Linked DNA regions of Danio rerio. The protein of the gene in region 2 purifies or fractionates together with the protein of the main gene of each other region. This does not show direct contact. Links are inferred from orthologs where the notes say so. Each region holds a gene or a part of one and is shown on either strand. Other genes may lie near its edges.

What was found. Proteins that work in one complex are often made in the same cells at the same time.
Region 1: the proteins of csnk2a2b (region 2) and wdr5 purify together in Homo sapiens (affinity purification with mass spectrometry; 3 studies listed by BioGRID and IntAct, with this or other methods). This does not show direct contact. The link is inferred for Danio rerio from reciprocal best matches to the Homo sapiens genes CSNK2A2 and WDR5.
Region 3: the proteins of csnk2a2b (region 2) and eif3s6ip purify together in Homo sapiens (affinity purification with mass spectrometry; 3 studies listed by BioGRID and IntAct, with this or other methods). This does not show direct contact. The link is inferred for Danio rerio from reciprocal best matches to the Homo sapiens genes CSNK2A2 and EIF3L.

What each region holds. Positions count from the first base shown.
Region 1 is NC_133196.1:19,691,064-19,695,793, reverse strand, and holds part of wdr5 (WD repeat-containing protein 5), read right to left. Parts: intron 3,480-4,730; coding exon 3,396-3,479; intron 3,263-3,395; coding exon 3,207-3,262; intron 3,113-3,206; coding exon 3,066-3,112; intron 2,843-3,065; coding exon 2,767-2,842; intron 2,659-2,766; coding exon 2,625-2,658; intron 2,535-2,624; coding exon 2,460-2,534; intron 2,350-2,459; coding exon 2,262-2,349; intron 1-2,261.
Region 2 is NC_133200.1:14,579,643-14,584,622, forward strand, and holds part of csnk2a2b (casein kinase II subunit alpha'), read right to left. Parts: intron 3,156-4,980; coding exon 3,054-3,155; intron 2,163-3,053; coding exon 2,112-2,162; intron 929-2,111; coding exon 869-928; intron 783-868; coding exon 699-782; intron 464-698; coding exon 353-463; intron 1-352.
Region 3 is NC_133188.1:46,818,238-46,822,520, forward strand, and holds the end of eif3s6ip (eukaryotic translation initiation factor 3 subunit L), read right to left. Parts: coding exon 4,223-4,283; intron 3,175-4,222; coding exon 2,985-3,174; intron 1,892-2,984; coding exon 1,811-1,891; intron 1,671-1,810; coding exon 1,593-1,670; 3' UTR 1,402-1,592; downstream 1-1,401. UniProt on the Homo sapiens protein: Component of the eukaryotic translation initiation factor 3 (eIF-3) complex, which is required for several steps in the initiation of protein synthesis.

The sequences.
Region 1 (4,730 bases), on a different chromosome or scaffold from region 2:
ATCTTCAGGAAATCACTGAAGGTATATATTATGTTATCATAACGATCTAATGTGGCAATAAAATCGTAACAGTACTGTGCATTTACACCCTGGCCATGTTCATCAATGTAAACACACCAAAAACAACATTAACATTATAGCAGACACTGTAAAACGGTCATTCCTAGCCACTAGACTCTTCTGACAGGGTATTCGAGTGTCAGAATGTTGTGGGACTGCTATACAGGAGTTATTATAGATAGCGAAATTTAGCGTTTTTTATTTTAGCTTTTAAAAAAAAGAGAGAGAAAAAAAACACAGTTATGAATATATTAAAACCTGTGCTTGTTTGTTGTAAAAGTTAAAAATAACGACAATAAATTACTAATACTAATTTGTGGATCTCTTTACTTCCGGGTGCAGCTATACTGCCGTTGTGGCTGGTGTATTCTGGGAAATTTTCTTCCCCTTAGTTTCGAGTTTGGTCCTAAAAAAAATTTCCATTCGAAGGGGCATCTACCCCTTGCCCTTATCCCTATGCCTTCAAGCTAAAGAGACTTGAGTAATAGAAAGGGCTAAAGGGTAGAATTGGACCTTAAAGTTAAAGGTTCATGAAACACCAAAACACATTTTTTGTTATGTTGACAGTCATATATGTGTTCTAATAAACACTATAGACACATATTTCACAAAAAAAAAGTGATGGTTGTTTTTGCTTTATTTTAAGCAAATTTGTTTTCTCAGATTTGAAACTAATTTTTGAAGCTACGTCATGGCAATTAGATCCTTATGTGTAATCCAGCATGGAGAGTGGATGTCTGTACTGGCAAATACATCCGAGTCCGAATGTGCAGCATTAATTCATGAGAAAGACTTGGTTCAAACCAATTAGCGCGCTCTATTGTGAATGAGGTGCAACTTAATTAATATGCACGATAGCTTCGAAGACTGTTTTTACCTAATAGAATGTTCAGACTGCAGAGAGACACCACGTTGTGTTGCCAAAAAAATGGAAAAACAAGAATTGTTTGGAGACATGGGTTGTCAGTGCTTTTTTTTAGAAATGTGCTGCAACAAAGGTTTTGTTTCAATTTCGTGCTATGAGAGTGCAGCTGGACTCACTTGTGGTTTACAATTCATGCGACAGAAATATATTTGTAAGGAACATTTTTTACCTGAAAGCTTTTCGCATAAGGAAATGGGGAAATCTGGATTTGCCACTTGTATCCTTTTAAAAAAGATGCGGCTCCAGTTGGTGTTGATTGTCTTGTCTCTACAGATTTGTACTCTTTCAGTTTTTAGAGACATACCTTAGTCAAAATGATTTAGTTACTAAGTTTACAGTTAGTTAATATCAATAGAATATTACAGACTGAAAGATCCGATGTAAATGCTGCTCTCCGAATGTAAACACCACAATCAAACTATTACCGTCATATAGAATTTTTGCCGCATTTTGCGACAGGATAGCAAGCGCTGATTTTCACAGAGGCAAAACAAAAAAAGACGCAGGGGAGAAAGACAGTGACTATGTTTACATGGACATCAGTAATCAAATTATTAGCCAAATTAATAATTTTCAACTTTAACTGCAGTTTGGCAATTTTACTTTCATTCAGGAACATTTCATGCATGCCTCCTGTGACAAATACTGGATGCAAGGAACTGCTGGAAAAGTGTAATTTTAAATGGAATGTTATCTAGTGAATTTGACACATGAATGACGCAAGTAAACTCAAATATTCACGCACCATTTATTCGCTCATGCCGCATCTGGTGTGAACTAGGGTTGTGCGATTAATCTAAATTGAATCGCGATTTTAAACGTTACAATTAGCTAAGTCGCAAGAAGCTGCGATATGAAATATATATGTATTATCTAATTTCCCCCGCCCAGAACTTGACTACTACTTCACAATTAGATATTTTCCCCAAATCGCACACAGCATGGTGAACACAGTGTGAGCACAGCATTATAGCAATCCGGCAATACACGTTTAAACCATTTCGATCTCTACATATGTGCTGCATTTGGATTAAATTGAATTATGTTGTAGTTACATTTAACATTGGTCAATTAAAAACTACAAAAAAAAAAAATCTAAAATGAAAATCGTGAATCATTTAAACAAACCTTTTTTGACATTATTGCACATCAATAAAAATATCACTCAAACACAACAAATTTGTAACGTAGCACTGCTTACCTGGAACTATTAGCAGGAAGTGCATTAAGCTCTAGGTAAAAATGCTTTGCTAACATCCACTGAACTTGCTCTTACCTGTGTGGCCCTGTAGTTTCTGTACAATCTCCTTGGTCTGAAGGTTCCAGATATAGACCATGTTATCTTCTGAGCCGGAGACAATCCACTAAAAATAAAGAGCAAGCCTTTATCACCATTTCAGTTCACATGCTCATGTCGAAAAGTTTTAGCATGTCAAGAGAGGCAATGGATTAGAAAAGTGTAAAGCCAACAAACCTTTCCACCAGTGACAGAGAAATTAGCAAATATGCAGTACTTCTCGTTTTTATGACCGGTGTAAGTTTTCAGACACTAAAAAAAAAGAAAATATTATTGTTATACACCGATTGAGAACTTTTTTATTATTAAAACAATGCACTAAACAAACTGAGAAACACTTACCTTTCCTTTGCTGTAGTCCCAAAGCTTCAAAGTACTAAAATATGAAGGGAATGCATGTGGATTAATAGAATTTACTTTAAAGTTTTCTTCTTTTTAAATAATACAATTAAATGTTGAAAATATCAAAATGTCCTTGACTTACTTGTCCAGAGTGGCAGCCAGGATGTACTTGCCATTGGGGGAGAACTTCACAAATGACACTGGTGGGTTGTCGTCATCTGATGAAAAATTGGAAATGTATACATTTTAATGATTGTTTATGCCTCTTTTAATGTCTTTCTTGTTACTTAGCGTACCTTAAAATTAACTGTGTTATACTAGTTTCTTATTAGCCTAAAGTTATTTATGCATATCAGATAAGAACAGATAAACACAAATGATTGCCATTTACACAACAAATCTAACCTTGTTTGTAGTCATTTTAAATGCTGATCAACTTACCAATAAGTGTTTTAAGGCACTGGCCTGATGCTGTGTCCCAGATACGACTGTTTAAGTCAGAAAGTGGGTATGATTGTTAGCTTTTTATTTCTGAAATATTTTTTCACTCTTGATTTTTTTTCATAGTCAAAGTTCACTCACCAAAGTCCATCATAACTGCTGGACACAATCAATGAGCCATCTCTATTGAAATGAACCTAAAAAAACAAACAAACAAAAAAAAAACAAATACACAATTATAATTCAAAGAAATCACTTAAATTGATGTCAGTTGTACACAATTGTGAATTGAATCATCCAGATGAAGTAAAAAAAAAAAAAAACACTAACCGCAGAGACAGGGTCTGAGTGTGCTGGAAGTGTCTTCAGACATTTCCCCGTTTTAACATCCCAAATCCTCACACTCTCGTCAAACTGCATTGGAGAGAAGAATTAACATGTATTAGGGGTACAATGTATGAAGTCATTAGCTATGTTTCCATCCACCTATTTTTATGCGCATATGCAAAATAACGGTTGATATAATAACAGTAAAAAACGGTTGATGGAAACGTCATGATGCGCATGAATTTTGAAAATGTGCATAAAAAAATTATGCGCATAACTGAGAAGGATAAACATTATGCAAGATATGCATAAACTACAGAGGAAACGCTTTTACTACACAAATTACAGTATGCACAATTTAAAAAGGTCATGTGATTTTGTTATAAGAGAACATGTGATAAAAATCTAAATCATGTGATTATCATGTGATAAAAACCAGCAGGCTGAGCACACTGTAAAACATTTGAAATTTAGTTTTGGTCATTCTAAAATGTCTTACCGTTTAATTATCAGTGTTATTATATTATTAATGATCTCCAGAATCAAGAGTGTCTGTGCTCCGCGTCTGACACCTTAAAACGCCACCCCGCGTTCACTGCATGTGAGAATTGTCTTCTTAGGCGAAAGTCATTAGATCAAGAAAAGATTGATGCAGCTTCTCCAACTGCAGCAAATTTAGTTTTTACTGTTGATATTTGGCAGCAGTTAATCAGGAAGTGTGTAATTTGTTCGCTTTGACTTGTTGGATGGAAACGCTGCTTTATTTGGACGTCTTTTATGCGACAATCCAGTTTTGCGCAAAAAGTTAATTTGCAGTTTTGGATGAAAACAGCTCTTGATTACAGTTTTCAAGAATAGAGAAACAAAGCTACAACTCTGAACTCAAAAGACAGTTTTCTATTGCAGAGAAGGGTATTGTTTGGCGCAGCTTTTACATTTACATTTTGGATTTACACTGAAGTTTAATACCAATTAATGTGGATATCTAAATTTGCGCATTGAAGTCATTGTTATTTATTCTTGGTCAGTTCGGCATCTCTGATACCAAATGTAAGGAACCTCTGGACCTCTTCTAATGACAAGGATACTACCATTTCAGGTGTTTTTTCTTTCAGTGGTATAAAATGATTTAGTCGTGCAAACTAATGATACAGCAGTGGCTGCTACTGACCATTTAAACAGTGTTTGGTGTCTCATGTCACAAATCCAATAATGCTGGTTAGGTTATGAGCATTCCTTCTGACCAAGTGATCAGCAATTTGTAAAATGCAAAGTTTTGGAAATGACACTGCTCACTTTAAACTTCATTTAAAGAGGTCGTTTCGTTCCAGGACGCAA
Region 2 (4,980 bases):
CAAAGTGTAAAAGTGTTTAATCCAGATTTGAATAAAGTGTAACTCATTGTTTTTAATCTGAATCGGGACAAAATGTGAAAGTGACTTTGTGCTTAATCCAGATTTGGAAAGTGCATAAAAGTAACTTGATATTTCTAATCTGGATTTGGGCAGAATGTAAAAGTTACTTTCTTTATTACTGTGTTTAATACGGATTCAGATGAAGTGTGCATGTAACAAAGCATTTAATCTCAATTTGAGTAAAGTGGTAAAGTGTGCAGAAAGTGTTTTCAATCCAGGTTTGTGTTAAAATCTAAAATGTGCAAAACAATCCAACACGATTAATGTGCTTAATTTACAAAGAACATATTACCTGGTAGTCCACCAACAGTTCTGGACCCTTGAAATAGCGTGAAGCCACTCTGACATTGTACTCTTGCGCAGGGTGATAAAACTCAGCAAGACCCCAGTCTATCAACCTCAGCTGCATCAAACACACACACACACACACACAAACATGACAATGCAAATTGACATCTGAAACACCACCTCACTTCCAAACAGAAACCGGTACTCTCATGCCCTCTGCTGGTGAGTAAGCGCAATAAATCCAGAATTAACATTGAAGGAATCTTTTTTTACTCAAAATCTCTCTGAAATGTACTCTAATGTCCTAAATCCAGTTCAGAGTTGAAAAAGATCCAAAACCACAACATTACCTTTCTTAACTGGTGATCGATCATAACATTGTGGGGTTTGACATCGCGGTGCATGATCCCCATACTGTGGCAGTAGTCCAGAGCCTGTCAGTCAAAGAATAAACAAACATTAACAACAAAGTGAAAGCCTTGAAAAATCACGCCACTGAAGCACAAGACTGTGGCCTTACCTTTAGTAGTTCATACATGTAAAAACGTATATCATAATCCGTTAATTTCTGATACAGCTCCTAAACAGAAAGAAAAGGAAAGAAATTAGGTACGTAACAAAGGATTCAATTTAAATGAGCTGCTAAATAATAATTAAACAAGTTTCTTGGATTCTTATTGGTTGGTATTAACATCCATTTCAAAATAATTCAACATAGATAGATAGATAGATGGATAGACAGACAGACAGACAGACAGATAGATAGATGATAGACAGACAGACAGACAGACAGACAGACAGACAGACAGACAGACAGACAGACAGACAGACAGATAGATAGATAGATAGATAGATAGATAGATAGATAGATAGATAGATAGATAGATAGACAGACAGAGACAGACAGACGATGATAGACAGACAGACAGACAGACAGACAGACAGACAGATAGATAGACAGACAGACGATGATAGATAGATAGATAGATAGATAGATAGATAGATAGACAGACAGACAGACAGACAGACAGACAATTATAGATAGACAGATAGATAGATAAACAGAGACAGACAGACAGACAGACAGATAGACAGACAGATAGATAGATAGCAAGATAGATAGATAGATAGATAGATAGACAGACAGAGACAGACAGACGATGATAGACAGACAGACAGACAGACAGACAGACAGACAGATAGATAGATAGATAGATAGACAGACAGACAGACAGACGATGATAGATAGATAGATAGACAGACAGACAGACAGACAGACAGACAGACAATTATAGATAGACAGATAGATAGATAAACAGAGACAGACAGACAGACAGATAGACAGACAGATAGATAGATGATAGATAGATAGATGATAGATAGATAGATAGATAGATAGATAGATAGATAGACAGACAGACAGACAGACAGACAGACAGACAGACAGACATACAATGATAGATAGACAGATATATAGATAGATAAACAGAGACAGACAGACAGACAATGATAGATAGACAGATAGACACAGACAGAGACAAACACACGATGATAGACAGACAGACAGACAGACAGACAGACAGACAGACAGACAGACAGACAGACAGACAGACAGACAGACAGACAGACAGACAGACAGATAGATAGATAGATAGATAGATAGATAGACGGATAGATGGATGGATAGATGGATAGATAGATAGATAGATAGACAGACAGACAGACAGACAGACAGACAGACAGACAGATAGATAAAAAAATACCTTAAAATCTGTGTTATTGATGCATTCAAAGACAAGCGCAGGCGTTCGAGACTGTAGAATGATTCAAAGGAAACCAACAGATAGAGAGAGAGAAAGAGATGAACAATCAGAAAAAGGGAAGTCCATCAAATCAACAATGGAAAGCATTAACTGACACCATCAAGCATTCATTGTGATCGCAATCAGGAATAAAACAGCAGCACATTGAGTACAAAAGCATCACGACTGGCTGCATCTCATTTTTCAATAATCTTTGCTATGATTCTCGCTCATTTTCACTAGATCTCATTGGGTCCAAAAACGCTTTAAAAATCATTATGGATAGTTTGTTATGAACAGTTCATTAATTACTTTTCCTTCGGCTTTGTCTCAATTTCCACAACAGAATGAACCATCGACTGTTCCAGCATAAGTTTTACGCAGTGGATGCCCAAATGGCTAATTTAGTTTATTCAGTTCATCTATACCGCATGTCTTTGGACTGTGGGGCAAACCCACACCAACCCAGGGAAAACATGCAAACTCCACACAGAAATTCCAACTGGCCCAGCTGGGGCTCGAACCAGCAACCTCCCTGCTGTGGGATGACAGTGCTAACCGTGCCGCCTTATTTCCATCTAGATTATATAATTTCACTCAATTTTATATGCGGCTGGAGGAGCACTCGCTACAAAAAAAAGCATATGCCAGAGTAATTGTTGGTTCATTCAGCTGGGGTGGTTCATTCAGCTGTGGTTCACTTAGCTAAAGGATAGTGAGTAAAAGTTTTTACACAACCATTTCCAACCTAAAAGCAAATCTGGGCCTGTAAGCTAGAAAAAGGCAATTTGTCTCAAATGCTGTCCACCCACAATCTTCAGAGACAGAAAAAATCTAACTCCTCCTGGGACAAACTGTCTGCTCTGATTGGCCAATGGAAGAGGAGTGAGATGGAGGACGTACCACAGGGTCCTTAACTGTGTCCATTAGCTGAATGATGTTGGTACCCCCTCGCAGGTTCTCCAGGATCTTGATCTCCCTCTTGATCTTCTTTTTCTTGACAGGCTATTATAGAAAGCAGTGATGTAACAATATACAAACACACGCAACATGAAACAGTACACGTCTTAAAGGAATAGTTTAGCCAAAAGTGAAAATTACCACATCATATTCACACCCCCAATTCATCCTCTGTGTATATGACTTTTTTAAATATCAGTCAGTTAGAAATTGTATCCTGGCTCTTCGATGCTGTAAAACAGTGTTGGAGAGTGGCTTTTATTTTGAAAATGGCCCTGGATCAGCAGGTTAATTGTTGCTGGAGGTCCCCAGAACAGGTATAAACATTGGGTTATCGTTCATTTGCAGTGGCAGGTCCAAAACTGTGGAATACCCTTCCCTTTAGAACTTCGCATCGTCATAGATGTGGCATGGTTTAGAGCTAAATTTAAAACCTGTTTATTTAGACTTGTTTTTGATATTCGTTAGTACAAAATGCGGTCCCACTTTATATTAAGTGTCCTTAACTATTATGTACTTACATCTAAAACATAAATACAATGTACTTACTGTGTTAATAATGTATTTGAGAACCCTTGTGGTGCTTTAGAGTTGGAATAGAGGTTGGGTTATGGACAGGTTTGGTGGCATGGGTAGGTTTAAGGGTTGGGTTAAGGTGTAAGGGATGGTCAACAGTGTATTTACAAATGTAATTACAGAAGTTAACTACAGAAGTAATTACATGTATTTAATCAAGCATAAGTACACAGTAAATACATGTATTTACACAATAAGTACATTGTAACAAACTATTAAATCCTATGTAACTACATATTAATTAAGGCCATTTAATATAAAGTGGGACCCAAAATGCTGTTTTATTGACACTTGTGCTCTTACCATTTCATGTCTTTTGATGTTTAATTTTATTTTTAATACTGTGAAGCACTTTGAGCAGCCTCCTGGTTGTAATAAGCTGATATACAAATAAGGTTTGAATGATTGATGATTCCTAAAACACCCTTGTCAAACTAACCCACAAGAAGTCAATCACACCGAACCCGCTTTTCCGTTCTAAAAACAGAAGGCGCACAACACTGCCTTTTTATGTCGCTAGGCAACCACTGTACCAACTGTGTATTGTGCGTTGCTGATATCCACTTTTCAAGTGTGACATCACGCAAAGCGGCTTTTAAGTCCAAGTGCTATATCAAACTGTATGGAGAGATGCAACAAATCGTAATAATAAAGCGATGTAATATTTTCGAAAATCACGATCGCAATATATACATCCATGCCTAATATCCGATGGCCAGAAAGTGATCATTTTTTTTATAAATTGTTAACATTTTGGAATGTCATGCATCAAGCCAAAAGACTGATGTGCACATGATTTTATAGGAATTAATTTTAATATGTAATATGATTAAAAAGTCGTCATAAACAAATATTTTCTCAATTCAAATGAGTAGGGGCTTGGACCTAAATACAGTATGACATAACAAGCGGATGGATATACTTGCGACCACAAGTCTTTCCTCAATCTTTAAAGAGTTTGTAGTAGTCGTCTTCACAACACAAACACTGCTGTCACTTCAATGGAAACCCCGCCTCTGCTTTCATTTGATTGGACAATGTAAAAAGATGCGAGTGGCGTAGCTCACTTTTTCCACTCAGTTGACTATTTTCAACTGCGAGGGCCACTATGTGCAATGGCAAAAATACACAGCACAGCATGCAGTTAAAATGTGAGGAGAGGAGAGACTCAGATTTTTACGGACTAGCTCCACGAGAAAATTTTTGCCCACTTGGGCTCAATTTCTTGATTTATTTGACAACTCAACATGAGCTCTCGCTCCTCCTCCTATAAGCTGTTTTAATGCGTACACCA
Region 3 (4,283 bases), on a different chromosome or scaffold from region 2:
CGGAATCGCCCGAATCCAGGCACAGTAGATTCTGTTCTGTTTTTGCACAGTGCGAAGAAAAAGGCCAAGTAAACATAACATAGCTGCCGTTTAGGCTAAAGTGGCACCCTTTTTGTTATCTTGTTCCTGTGTCTGTAAAAGCTAAAAGTCTTATTTTTCTTTCTGTATTTATTTGAAAATTAAGGAAATTTTGTCTAAAGACAAACTTTTGTTTTTATAAATAAATATTCATTTAAAAGCGTTTATGAAAACATATAATTTTACTATCAGAGATGTGCAGATTATAGCGGATCTCTAGCGTGCGGTATTAAATTCCATTAAAACAATCCTCCTCCAGCAGTTCATACTCACATCCAATATCTCGTTTGTCATGGGGGAACATGAATGAAATGTTCCTGAATAAAAGTGCCAAACAGTAAAAGCAGTAAAAAGCTTTTTTTTAATTAAAAACGTAACACCGTAACATGACATGAAATGTGGATAGCACAGTGATGACGTTAATCGAATTATGCGCTGTAACATAAAACAGGATCATGAAAGGAACATTCAAATAGCAACTCATGTAAACACCTTAATCATATTGTTGCCTTATTTAGATTAAGGCAAATAATTACATTACTGATGTATGTTAATGTATTCACTGTGAAAAAATCCTTCTACCATAAGGATACCATATACTATTAATCTTGTTATACGTTGCCCAAAATTTTTCTAAATTAATGGAAATAAAAATTATATATAAAGATACTCTGCCACCTTGTGGCAGTTATGCTAATAAGATGCCACATAAATAATAAAAATAATATTTGTAGAGTAAAAAAAAAAAAAAAAAAAATCAGCCACTATGGCTAATCATTTTTCAAAGTCACTAGCCACTCAGCAATTTCAACAGCCACAATTTTGTTATTGGGAAAATATATATTTGCTTTAAGTACTTTTTAGCATGCAAAAGTCATTTTACTTGATCTAGATTATTTTTTTATTTAAGTGGAAAACCTTTCATCAATTTGACAAAACCAACTAAATTTCCATTCTTGTTTTGGACGAATTTATCAGTATTTTCAAAAAGGGCCTGTTCAATCGAATTGCCGGTAATTTTCTGGAAAGGTCTGCATGAGTTAAAAGGGCTAACGATAAGTCCTGTTGGCATAAATAATTGATACTTGTACAATATTGTAAAACTGTTAAAAGCAATGAAATGCATCTTGAATAATGCATATACAGCAGTTTCATGGGAAGTAAAAACATGTCTGGACTGAACTCTCTCAAGCCACTGACAGGCCTAAAGTTTGTTAACAGATGCTTACTCTCGTTTATGAAATCTGAGCACGATTCTTTTCCAAACTTTTTCAGGATTACTAGATTTAATTGCAGTCAAAGAGAAACTACTCCACATTACACTTCAGCCACATCTCACTTTATTGACTTAGAAAACAGCTTGAGAGAAAGCTTTGCTCAATTTTGACAAAGAAGAGCAAGCAATATAATATCGTTTCGACTGGTTCAAGACTATGAGTGCTGCCTTGTAATTGGTTGAGAAGTCTGGGCTGGCCTGTAATTGGTGGATCTCAGTTGTTCAGGAGTCACCTTCGTTATGTGGCTCGTGACGTGGAGCTGCTGGAAATAGAGGCGCCTGTGTTCAGAGGCATCTTCTTCAGCGTTCGGTTCAGCTGAAGAAACAAGACGATATAAACGTCCAAGCATTATTTTACATTATTTTTATAAAATTTATAGTTAAACAGTAATAGAACAATATGCTGTATTAAAGTATATGACAAATCATAACTATTAAAAATTCAAGAAGATGTACCTCCTCAAACTTGTGGATCTGTCGGATAAAGAAATCTCCATAGCGACGAGCAACCTTGGTGTCGGCAATATGGATCATATCCTGAGGAAAACAAATCATGTTCTTACTGACTGAACTCACATCTCATCAGTGAAGAAAATCAGAGCACAAGCAGAAACAAAACACACACTTCCGTCCAAAATAATAACATTTGATAATATTTCTGTGTCAGCAGTTTGATATTTACAGGTCATTAGATACAGCAACATGAAACTCAAAAAAAATCGTAACATTTGAAAGTAAGAAATTATGCATTACACTTAATAAATGTTATATATGCATCTATCTTGATTTATTTATTTTTATAAAAAGCAGCATACAAGAGATTTTTTCCATTGATAAAGTAAAAAATACAACAATGTGAACAGAGCTAGAAATAAATATTTTTACAGCATTAATTAATCCATGTTCGTGTTAATAATGTTCATGTTTAGTCGTGCATTAACACAACTCTGGATTTTATTAATGCAGTATTAAATTTTACCATTAAAGGGGACCTTTTATGCAAAAATCACTTTTATAAAGGGTTTCAAAACAGTAGTGTATAAATACAGTCAATGTTCTTTTACATTTTTCTTGATAATTGTATTTCTTATAATGACACTTGATAAAAACAGTCTGCAGAAACACTTTGACATTCTCCCTTTGTACATGTCATTAGAGAGGAAAAGCCCCAAACATTAGTGATGATCTCTCCCTCATTAGCATAGGACGTTAGTCTCGTTTTTGAATCTGCCGCTATGCTGACATGCAAGCATTAGTAGCTCTGTGCTTTTTTTAAAATAGCACAATATTATATGAATTTAAAGCAACAGTCACCAAAACAGTACAATTAGGATTAAAGTCTAAAGTGGCAGTTTCAAATGGATATAAAACATTATTTGTTTGCTAGTTTGAGCTGAAACTTCACATACACACTCTAGGGACATCAACGTTTATTTTACATCTGTAAAAAGGGGCATAATATGTACCCTTTAAATCAAATTAATAAATGCTTGTAAAAACCAGTGCGTTGTTACTAATCACTAATGTTATGAAAGTTTGTTGTGAAGTTATACTGAATGTGGTACTTTTTGTACAAGATTGGCAAGCTAATAGCATTGAGTTTCTCAAATAAAACTGTGAGTCCACAGACCTTGTCGATGTAGAAGTCGACCTCAGATGCGGACTGAAACTCTCCGTCCAGAGCAGAGATGCCGCTGGTCCACACCAGGTTCTTCATCTTGTGCTTGAAGACCAGCAGCTGAATGCGAAACTCCTGCTCTGACATGTCCAGGAATCCGGCCAGTTTGGCCACAGGCATGGTGGTGTAGAGCTTGAGGAAACTGATGGACAGATGGAGAAACAATTCAGAGATGTGCTAATAAACACTGCTGGGGAAATGCTTGTTTCTATGTAAATTCAAAATGCTCTAGAATGACATATTTAAACTTTTAAAAGTTTGACAAGAGTTTTGCATGTAGGAAGTGGGATGTGTAATAAATAGTCAACAATAATAAAACAACTCCTCTATTAGGGCCCCACATTACTGATAAAACTAGACTATTGTGATAGCAATATTATATAATATTTCTCTAGAAAATGCAATTTTTATTAGCTATGTTCTTAAAAAACTTTATTTCATATTAAAATAACCAGCTAGAAAACAAATAACTTCTGATTCAGACTAAAAAAAAACTGTCAAGGTGGAAACATTTAGGCTTTAAATCACTATGAATGAGTGAAAACCTCGGCAGATATCCTGACTCTGATTGGCTGTTGTCTTTACAAGTGTTTATTTTCAGCTCTGGGTTTGGCTTTGGGTCACTCCAGCCAATAGCAGAACAGCAACTACTGAGGCGGGGATAAAGAAAGCAAGGCCCCATCTTTATTGATTAGTAAAATTTAGATAAACAAACAATGCATAATAAAAAAAATATGATTTATTACACATGTCTGCAATACATATACTCAAATACCACAATGATTTTGTCATAACGAGCAATAACGATAATTTTGAGATATATTGTGCAGCCTTAATATCTATCACTAAAAATCAATTGTTTTGCCAACAAAAATAGTAGCGGAAAGAAAAAAGTAGCATAAATTACAGAAGAGAATGTCATTCATTCATCCATAACTGGCCAAAAAATAGTGCAAAAATACTCAAAATTATTACTTTGTTAAATTTAAAAAAATCCCTAAACATAGATTACATTTTTTACCACACAACCAAAAATAGGAAAATATAATTCAATAACATAAGAAAAAACCTAAATTTAACATTCAAGTATTACAATATCCACAGTGTCCTTATGAATATCTGATAATGCCTTGCTGGGAGAAAAACACTGATTAGATTGTTCCTCAGAAGACGTCAGAGAACTGCTGTACCTGCGGATGGTGGAGAGCTGCGCCTGCTGCTGGACCTCCTCTGCAAACACCTTTAGCTGCT